Linked DNA regions of Cricetulus griseus. The protein of the gene in region 3 interacts with the protein of the main gene of each other region in a biochemical or structural test. Links are inferred from orthologs where the notes say so. Each region holds a gene or a part of one and is shown on either strand. Other genes may lie near its edges.

Region 1 (3,222 bases), about 91 Mb from region 3:
TCCTCTCTTTCTTTCTTTCCTCCTCCTCCTCCTCCTCCTCCTCTCCTCCTCCTCCTCCTCCTCCTTCTCCTCCTCCTCTTCCTCCTCCTTCTCCAGGCTGTCCTGGAACTCACTCTGTAGACCAGACTGGCCTCAAACTCACAGAGATCTGCCTGCCTTTGCCTCCTGAGTGCTGGGATTAAAGGTGTGCACCACCACCTCCTGGCAAGTCATGAGCTTCTAACTATCCCTTTTTCCCATCTGTGCCATAACCCACTGCTACTCCTGGTCACTGTCCTTCACCACGCTGACACTTGTTAACACAGATTCTGCGGATGGGGTGGTGACATTGGTCACACATGTTTGGGAGGTATGTATCCCAGGGCCTTTTCCCCTCAGAATCTCATCTCTCATCTGAGATGGGAGGCTGGTGTGTTAGGGAGAAGTCACTCATGGGTGATCTGATAAGAACACTGGGGAGAGGCCCTTCCCACACCTCTAGTGTCTAAGCACCCTTTCTCTTCCACTCATGGTGGGGGAGGAGACTCTGGCACCTGGAGATGCCCCCAGAAGGCATTCCTACATGACCTCATCTCTGGGCCAGGCTCTCAAAATTCTATCCTAATCAGTTCTCCTCATTAAGGGACAGAGAGAGGGTCGGAATTCCAGAAGTTCTTTGTCATATCCCAGTTTTTAATCAGTTGACACTAGAGAGTGAGCATCCTTGGGCAAAAAGTTTCACAAGGTTTTGGGGGGTGTGAGAGACCCTTCTGGCCTGGAAATGGGTTGAGGAGAGAGTGGCAGAGTTTGTGTGACGTTCACTTGTGGAGATCAGAACCACGGACAGCTACTAGGGTGCCGGGAAGCGGTGCAGTCCAGCGGTCCAGCCCAGCGGTCCAGCCAGGTGCTCGGAAGCCGGGCAGGGCCTAGATTACAGGTTCTGAGGACACTCTCTCGGGGAAGCTGGTGATGGTGGGTGTTGCCAGGGAGTGTTTTCAATGAGTCACCCCATAAGCCCCACACTCGGCTGCAGGCGAGGGAAGCTGGGGTTCTTCTCCATGCCATCTCCAGTAGGGGTGGGGCAGGATGTTAAAGACACTCAGACGATTACATGAAAGGAGGGAGCATGTTAGTGTCCCCCGCACACTCCTACCCTAGCCCAGCCCATTTCTATACAAGGCCCGCTCTCCACAGCCTCCACCCACAACGAATACCCCACACAGGCACAGAGGGGGGAATTCTCAGGCCCTGAGCTCAGCAGGCAGGAATGTGGCTGATAAATTAGAGATAACCCCACCCCCTACTCCATGAGAGGGCTGGCCGGACACCCAGCTCCAGGATAAAAGGCAGAAGCACCGTGGCTGAAGACGCCAGAACACAAGCTGCTTGAGGAGGTGGAACAAGGCACCGCCACAGCAGCCTGGTCCATCACTTCTACGACATGGATCTCCAGAAGGTGCTGTCCCGGATGGTTCTGTTCCTGCTTTTTCTTTATCTGTCACCGCTGGGAAGTCACTCCCACCCCCTGGGCAGTCCCAGCCAGTCTCCGGAGCAATCCAAGATGCAGGTGAGCGCTGAGGGGCTGCATAGACGGATGGGGTCTGCCTGAAGGGTTTGGGCAGCGGCAAAGAAAAGACCTCATGTCCTTTGGGAATTAGCCTTGTGAGACTCGGGAAGCAGCAAGATTGAGTACCAGGACTCTTAACCAATGGGCACCATGGAGGAAAGGGAGAGCCAGGAGTGTGTTTCTGAGGCCTGGGTTCCCCACTCTCATCACAGACACTGCTGAACCTGCTGAGGGAAAAGGCAGAGGCGGTGGCTCGGGGGCAGCTCCTGAAGGACCAAGGCGTCACAAAAGCACCTCCCCAAAGCACCCTTGGGTCTCAAGACAGCACCCTCCAGGTCCTACAGAAACTTCAAAACTCCAAGAAGATGCATAATTCGGGCTGCTTTGGGCAGAGGATAGACCGGATCGGCTCAGTCAGTCGTCTGGGCTGCAACGGTGAGCTTCTGCCTTGCCACTTCCCTGCAAGCTGTGCCCCCACCCCATCCCCACACATGGCATGCCACCAGCAGAAGTCCCTAGGTCTGCTATCCGGCATACTTGCATAGCTCTCCACCTTGCTGACGGTCTTCAGGACCAGGCAACCTGTCAGGAAATGTCACATGGGTGCTTCGTTACATCCTCACAAGTCACCACCTCCTACCTTCCATCAGAGGGGTCAAATGCACCTCGGGGTGCAGACTGCCTGTTGTTTGACCACCCCTTCATAGAGGAAAGAGCATTTCCTCTCTGTTTTCTCCACACTGAATTGTCAAAGGCAAAGGGCACAACGGACCCACTTTACAGTAGAAACTGAGGCCCAGTGAGATTGCTTTTTCCAAAGCCGTAAACTTCAACATCCTTTGGGGACTGCAGGTGGAGGGCAGCTCAGCCCTTGCCTCAGTTTCACCCCCAAGTCTGACATCTCCCTGTCTCTTTTCCCCATAGTGCTGAAGCGGTATTAGGATGAGCTCCCAGTTGCAGACACCGCCCGGCTCCTGACTCCACCAAGGGCTCCTTCCCCAACCCTGGGACCCCCTTTTGAAGTGATCCTATTTATTTATTTATTTATTTTTATTTATTTGGTTGTTTTCTACAAGACTGTTTCTTACCTTTGAGCACAAACTTTTCACAATGTAATAAACACGGCATTATTTCTTGCTTTTGAAAATGATTTGTCTCTCTGTGTTTCAATCAGTCTCTTGTCTTTTTCAGTTTGTGGGGTTTTTTGTTGTTGTTGTTTTGTTTGTTTGTTTATTTTTTGATATGGGGTCTCTCTTCATAGACTCTGCTGTCCTGGAATTCACTCTGTAGACCAGGCTGGCCTTGAACTCATAGAAATCTGCCTGTCTCCTTAAAGGCATGCCACTATGCCTGACTCTAGTCACTCATCTTAACAAGGAAAGAAGCAAGCCCCACAAAATATGTTTCCCGCAAGGTCCCAGGGCATCTTAATGGTGGAAGAAAGACAGCCCAAGGGCTGGGCCAGTGAGGTGTCTGAGCTTTCCTTTCCCTCCCAGTTTTTAACATTGTGAGGTGCCAATCCACACCAGAAACACCTGAGACTCCTCACAGAATCTGTTCTTCAAAGTGTGTGTTTGATTCCGGGGTGCAGAGCAATAAGAGGAGGGGATCATAGCATTCGCGCCCCCCCCCCCCCCGCCTGGAACTCCATCATCAAACACTCTGACTAATCTAGG
Region 2 (3,959 bases), about 91 Mb from region 3:
TCTTTTCTTTTTATCATTCCTAGAGCTAAGGCTGACTGGCTTCTGGGCACCCCAAAGTGGAGCAGGGCCAAAGACATGGAAAGAAACGTCACCTTGAGTTGCCTTCCATTTGGGACTCAGCTGAAAGGCTTCTTAAGGACTGGACTGAGAGGGTGATGGGCTCCTCCACTTGTCAGACACAGAGCACACACTGTGGAACATGGTGACACAGAGACGTGGAGAGCACTCGGAGCGTCCTCCATCCCTGCCCCTTAATGGAACCCTGAGAACACAGAAACTCAGTGGATGGCACTTATGTCCTCTCCAGTTCCACTCTTGAAAATTGACTTTGACCAAAGGAGATGGGCGGGCCTTGAGATTGCCCTCCTGGAGCATGACTGCTCAGAACGTCACCTCTCCTAGGGCCACCTCTGCGCTTCAGATATGGCACAGGACAGAAAAGTGGCAGAAGGCCTCAGAGCCATTTCTCAAGTCTGTGCCTGATTCAAAGGCCATCAATCTCCAGGAGACAGGCCATGTGGCACACACCGCAGGGGACCTGAGTCCCCCAGTAGGGATGCTTTGCTGAGTCCTCTTTGCTCATAATTCACAGCCACACACTTAAGCATTGAGGGCATCCCAGGGACTCATCCGGAGGCGACAGAGTTTGGACCCAGAGTTCCCACAAAGACTTGCACTGATTTCATATTTCAAGTAGAGATCGGCTAGCCCAAATTGGTTGCCTGCAGCCCCCAGCTTTCTCAAAGGGCTCTCTCTCTCTCTCTCTCTTTCTCCTGTTTTAGAGAACATCACCACAGACACCTCTTGTGACCTCCAGCCATTGTGGTCACATGACAACTTCAGCAGGCAGCCACAGCCTGAGGACGGAACTAGCCATCCTGAAAACAGCTATCTGGGCCCTGAATGGCGGGAGTGGATTAGAATGTGTGGGAATGGAATTCGGGTCTGCTGCAGCCCGTAAGTGAACAGAAAGGAGAAAACACACGCTTGTCAGACAGCAAAGCTTGCGCAGTGTTGAGTGTGGTGACACTGAAGTCTCGAGAGCATTCAGTGACTGCCATGCTCCTGCAGATGCCAGAGGAGTCAAGACTTTGATGGCTCACTTCCTTGGCCTTGGAGGTCGCGAAGAATGTTATGGAGAACTGTGTGCCCTCCCTTCCATCACCTCCCTTCTTCCCTCTAATTCCCTGGGAAGCTGGGACCATTTTACACTTTGTACTCAGACTCAGAGCTTTTGAAAACAGCAAGGCCAAGAAAGAGAAGCGGAGGCATTCTTCAAGCCTGTCTGTCCCCTTGCACCTTGGACCAAGTCTTGGGAGACAAGAACAATGGGCTTCAGAGGAAATACGCTCTATCGTCCCTTGGTGTTTATACTTGTAGCTGAATTCTTAGGGCCTGTATCATGCTGGCTTCCTGGCTGACTTCACACTCTAAAATAAAATAACTCTTTCACCTGACTGCTAACACGCATATCTAGGGTGGGGGTGGGCTGTCGGGGGCCAGAGGTCCACCCACGAGGCTGATGAATCAGGTGTGAAGCCAGCTCCAGCATGTGCACTCCCTAGCTGGTCTAGCTGGCCTCCCAGCTGCCTGTCATTTCCTCCCCTCCCACCCTTATTTGGAGCCCCTGACAGCTGAGCTGCAAGCAGGGGGAGCTGGGTGCAGGCCAGCCGTCACCCTCTGCTTCCCTGCATGGGTCCCGTTGCCAGGGAGAAAGAATCCTGAGGCGCGCGCCCGGGGAGATAACCAAGGACTCTTCTGCTCTTCTCACACCTTTGAAGTGGGGGCCTCTTGAGGCAAATCAGCAAGAATGTGACTCTTGCAGACGAGGGTCTCGGGGAGGGGGGCTACTGGAGCTGCTCAAGGAGAAGGGGCCGTGACAAGCTCTGCTGGGCTGATAACTTTAAAAGGACATCTTCTGCTGGCTCCTCACTCCATCGCTTTATCGCTGCAAGTGACAGAATGGGGAGGGTTCCAGCCCTCCTGCGTTCTCAGAGAGCTGGGGGGCTATAAAAACGGGAGGCACTGGGCAGCTGGGAGACAGTGACGGGCAAAGGCTGAGAGAGAGAAGCCGGAGAGGAGTGAGCAGAGACAGCAAGCTTCAGATCGTGCCCCAACCCTCGCCAGCATGGGCTCCTTCTCCATCGCCATGGGCTTCTTCCTGCTCCTGGCCTTTTGGCTTCCAGGCCATATTGGAGCGAACCCTGTGTACAGTGCAGTGTCCAACACAGATCTGATGGATTTCAAGGTAGGGCCAGGAAGTGGGGCACAGACTGGGTCTCTTTGGTGCTGAGTGCATTCCTCTAAGACATCCCCCTTCCCCGGCACTTATTTTTCCTTTGTAAAGAACCTGCTAGACCATCTGGAGGAGAAGATGCCATTAGAAGATGAGGTCGTGCCCCCTCAGGCCCTGAGTGAGCAGAACGATGAGGCACCGGGGGCAGTGCTCAACTCCCTCCCTGAGGTGCCTCCCTGGACTGGGGAGGTCAACCCACCGCAGAGAGAAGGCAGTACCCTTGGGCGCAGCTCCTGGGAGCCCTCCGATAGATCTGCTCTCTTGAAAAGCAAACTGAGGGCTCTGCTGGCTGCCCCTCGGAGCCTACGGAGGTCCAGCTGCTTCGGGGGTAGGATCGACAGGATTGGGGCCCAGAGCGGACTAGGGTGCAACAGCTTCCGGGTAAGAGGAACTGTGGATGGAAATGGCATGGAGGTTGGGTGGGAGAGCAAACTCAATACTTCGAGGGAGTATCTTTGGCAGCAGAGAGACCAGTGCAAGTGTTTATTCCTTCTGAGAGTTCTGCCCCACTATGTGGATGTTCCAGAAGTCTCAAGACCATGCCAACAGCTGCTACAGCCTCTGAGCACCAGCTGGGAAGTTAGAATAAAGGCAAAGTCACCTTTGCGCTGCTGATGGGCAGTTAGTGTTCTTCCCACAATTGTAAGAGCCTGGCATATTTCAATGAAATGGACTAAATCTGCCTGCCTTAACGTTTATGGGTTACTTGTTTGCCAGTTTATGACAGGGGACCATTGGGCTGGACTGTGGCTGGTGGGAAATAGGGGATCACTGGCCAAGTTGAATGTTTTAGTACAGTAAAGCCAGATCATCAAACCAATATATTTTTCTCTTTGTAGTACCGAAGATAACAGCCAGGGAGGAAAAGCAGCCAGATTTGCTGGGGCAGATTGCAGAAGACCCTAAGCCCCTATGGTGTGTCATGCAGCTTGGTCTCATCGTCACTGAGGTGTGGCGAACACCCTGCTGGAGCTGCTGCTTCCTGTCTTCATCTATCACGACTGATGCTAAATGTAGATGGGTGGTTTCAATGGGGCTCTCCCTCTCCCACCCTGCATATTAAGGTAGATCCTCACCCCTTTCGGAAAGCAGTTGGAAATAATTTTTTTTGAATAAACTTCAGCACCAAGGACAGAAGCCGAGGTCTGGGTGCTTCTTTCACTTTTGGCCCTCATTCCCCGGTGTCCCCCACCTTACCCTTTGCTGTCATTTCCCCCTTCCTGACTCTTCTTGGTGAGTGTGTGTGTGTGTGGGGGGGGGCTCAAGACACAGTGCTCTGCCACTCACTCCAGCCCCAGTCACAGATGGCGGAAAAGTCCACCCAGACTGAAAGGTCATTTATTTCCAACTCATCTTTTCCTGGCGGCAGGTACTGACGCTTGTGCTCAGCTGACAATTCCTTGCACCCCTCTCACTTTTTGATTACAGCTTGGGTGATTTTAAGGAGCATTTAGAGAACCAGGGACTGTCCAGATCTTCTGTTACCTGAGCACCAGCTGCTGCAGCCATGTGAATTACACTTTCAGTTTGGATAAGAGTGGAGGGTGGGTTACATAGTGGGGAGCAGTGAAGGACGGTTTCCAGGCTGAGTGGCAAGTTCAAATGCTTTGTGAATGACCACACCGACTGGTGCATCTCTTCCTATTTATCTATCTCACCAACG
Region 3 (3,279 bases):
CGCCAGGAACAGCCTGAAACGTTCTGGCTACAGAGAGCACCACCGCTACAGGTGTGTGGGGGTGACTAGGTATTGGGGGGAGCTTTTCTGTTCTGGCTTGGGGAAGGGTGGCATCTGTCCTTATCCTGACACTCCCTCCAGGGTAACATCAGGACACTGGACACACCGTTCCGGAAGAAGTGCAGCTTCTCAACACCAGTGCCCTTGTCTCTGGGGCAGCCTTTGCCTTATGATTTTGAGAATTCCCCCAACCAAGTGGAGTCAATGTCTTCGATTGCCTGTCAGGAAGGAGGGCAGGGGTGTGGAAAGACAAGGACAACTCCAGCCTAAGGGTTGAGGAGAGAAGTAGACATGGAATTTGGAGTCTATTTGTGTTCATACTGCAGAGGCAGGTGTGGGTTGAGCTAATTCTCTGTGCTTGATGAGGGGGTTACATAAAGCACTCTCCTGCTGAAGCTGCTGATTCATTGAGTCCATGAGTAGCTGTGTCCATACCCAATATTCTTCCCTTGCAAAGACCTAGACCCCAGACAAGAACACCATGATTTGTTGTTGTTGTTTTATACTTGGACAAAATATTCTGGTCTAGATACAGATATTTACAAGAAGGCAGGAAGGGGCAGGTATATGTACAAGGCTGAGCTGCAGAAGGCTGTGACTTCCATATAAGGCAGGGTTTTGGTTTGGGGTGTGTGTGTGTGTGTGTGTGTGTGTGTGTGTGTGTGTGTGTGTGTGTTCCATCTCAAATGACAATGTCTGTTTTTGTTGTGTGGTCATTGCCCATCCTAGTACCAGCAGCAGGAGATTGTCTGGCTTGGGGTTTACAGGAGTCCGGGAGGTCCTTTTCGCTCTCCTAAGAGCCAATAAGTTCGCATTTTTCCTTTTCCCTGGAGGCAGGGGAGTGGGCATAGTTGAGATTCTCCTGTGTTAGTGCCTTTATCTCCCTCTCTCCCCCAACTTTCATCCTCCCATGATCCACTACCCCATGTCCCGCTGTCACCTTCATCTCCACGTCCCCACGGAGCTCTAGCTGGAAGCATCCTAACTCATCCAGGGCATCCTTGGTGGTCGAGGAGACATGGATCTTTAGAGCTGGGGTAGTGCAGGCCAGGAACAGAGGGAGAAAGACGAATCAAAGAAAAGGCAAGAGAAAAATTGACATGCTGGAGAGTACTTTACCCAGTCATCCACCCCTCAAGAAAGCCTCCAATCCTCCCAGTACACATTTATGGGAATCAATATATGCCCAAGGACAGGGCACTTAAGAACTAACTATCCAACTGAGAGATATGGAGGAACTCTGCAAAGAGAAAAGAGCAAGACAGACCCAGGTCAAGGCTGGAGTTAAAGGCTGCTGTCCTCACCTTGACCATTAGACTCCATTCTAGAAGCAGTGTTCACTGTGTCTCCAAAAAGACAGTACCGGGGCATCTTCAGACCAACAACCCCAGCACAGACTGGCCCTACAAATACAAGCTGGTTGGGAGAGACCCAGACAAGTAGACCCTAGGGCTGGGTGAGAATTCACCTTACCAGTGTGGACGCCTATCCGTAACCTCAGCTGGTCATGGGGTCGATGTCGGATGCGAAAGGAAGAAACAGCATCTAGTAATGCTAGGGCCATGCGAGCAATTTCTGGTGCATGGCGTTGACCATTTCGGCCTGGAAGGCCAGATACCACCATATAGGCATCCCCAATGGTTTCCACCTGATTTAAAGGGAGGATTAAAAGGTCATCTGTAGGTTTACTAGTTAGAACACTGGCTGCTCTTCCAGAGAACCTGAATTCAGTTACCCCCTGTAACTCCAGTTCCAGGGGAAATGACACCTTCCGGCCTCCATGGACAACTGCACACATGTGGCATATATTCACATAGATAATAAACATAAATAAAATGATAAAACTATTTTTAAGAGGTCATCTCTAGCTATATCGGTGGGAATGAGAAAGAGATAAGATGAACTGCCAGGAGTCATCCTAACAGCCTGGGAGGCCATGACTGGCCAGATGGACTAGGAACTATATGCCATGGTCCTGAGGATCTGCAGATAAGAGCAGGGCAGACAGGGAATACTTAACTCCTCCTCAGTAACCCCGCACCTGGTGAATATTCAGTGGCTTGTGTTGAACAAGTGGACAGGAGCGGGATCCTGATCCAAAGAAGGTAAAGTAGGTTCAGTAACGTGGACCAGGCAGCCTGACTGTCAGAGGGAGAAGATGCAGCCAATTGACTTTGGTAACTGTACCAAAACTATGGCACACAGAGAAATGTGTAGGGAGCCCATACTAAGTATTAGGGATACTAAGACTTCCTCTCAAATGGTCCACATAATAAGTATATGAGTTTAAAAAAATAATAATATAGGACCTGGAATTTTGCCAACGAGCAGAATAGTTTAGCATGGGGAAAGAGCTATGGGTTTGATTCACAAAGACTCCAGGGACGGGAAGACATCTAAAATAAAAGGAGGAAATATAAATAATCGGTGTAAAGAAATAATTGGGTAAAGGGTTTATTGTCGTTTTGTTAGGGAAACATCAGAGAGGGTTTGGTAATCTTTAAAATATCCTTATTTGTGTTTAGATATCGTCTCACTGTGTAGCCAAAGCTGACCTTAAACTCCTGATCCATCTGTCCCAACCTCCTAAATACTGGGATGATAGACAGGTGTCACCATGCCCAGCAGTATTATTTTCCATATGCCACACTCAATGTTAGACACTTTTAAGAAATATTTCTCACATTTATTTATACACACACACACACACACACACACACACACACACAGTCAGAAGAGTCAGTTTTCTCCTTCCATCATATACATAGCAGGGATTGAACCTAAGTCCACAGGCTTGGTGCCTTTACTCACTGAGCCATCTCACCAGCCCATCAGTTTTCATATACCTAATCTATTACTGCAACAACTGAGGCTCAGATAAACCCTGTTACTTGTCTAAGGCCGCATAATTATCTATAAAATTATCAGTATTCAAATCTAGCACATTTTTGCTTCCAAGGACAATTAAGCCAACTCAATGACTTTAACAAATAGCTGTATAACATGTATTTGTGTCTTGCTCTTCACCCCACATCCTCTGTGCTTCTTATGGAAGGTGTCTGTATTAATAACACACAGAGAGAGGGGAACTGAAGCGTGCAATGGCTGTGACTAGGGAACCCTGAGAATCACAGGTGTCAGACAAGACTGTCCATGTTTGCTAGAGTCACATCCACTAAAGAACACTTGGATGGTGGAGAAACTTGGGAAGCACTGACT

What was found. The genes of interacting proteins can lie anywhere in the genome.
Region 1: the proteins of Npr2 (region 3) and Nppb form a complex in vitro, tested with the Homo sapiens proteins (3 studies listed by BioGRID). The link is inferred for Cricetulus griseus from reciprocal best matches to the Homo sapiens genes NPR2 and NPPB.
Region 2: the proteins of Npr2 (region 3) and Nppa form a complex in vitro, tested with the Homo sapiens proteins (3 studies listed by BioGRID). The link is inferred for Cricetulus griseus from reciprocal best matches to the Homo sapiens genes NPR2 and NPPA.

The regions. Positions count from the first base shown.
Region 1 is NC_048595.1:8,480,004-8,483,225, reverse strand, and holds Nppb (natriuretic peptides B), read left to right. Parts: upstream 1-1,325; 5' UTR 1,326-1,420; coding exon 1,421-1,546; intron 1,547-1,758; coding exon 1,759-1,981; intron 1,982-2,470; coding exon 2,471-2,487; 3' UTR 2,488-2,696; downstream 2,697-3,222.
Region 2 is NC_048595.1:8,467,283-8,471,241, reverse strand, and holds Nppa (natriuretic peptides A), read left to right. Parts: upstream 1-1,559; 5' UTR 1,560-2,128; coding exon 2,129-2,248; intron 2,249-2,347; coding exon 2,348-2,677; intron 2,678-3,135; coding exon 3,136-3,147; 3' UTR 3,148-3,433; downstream 3,434-3,959.
Region 3 is NC_048595.1:99,878,247-99,881,525, forward strand, and holds the end of Npr2 (atrial natriuretic peptide receptor 2), read right to left. Parts: intron 1,709-3,279; coding exon 1,534-1,708; intron 1,464-1,533; coding exon 1,365-1,463; intron 1,093-1,364; coding exon 1,001-1,092; intron 888-1,000; coding exon 822-887; 3' UTR 543-821; downstream 1-542. Other genes in the region: Spag8 (sperm-associated antigen 8), read left to right, coding at 1-51, 142-330. UniProt on the Homo sapiens protein: Receptor for the C-type natriuretic peptide NPPC/CNP hormone. Has guanylate cyclase activity upon binding of its ligand. May play a role in the regulation of skeletal growth.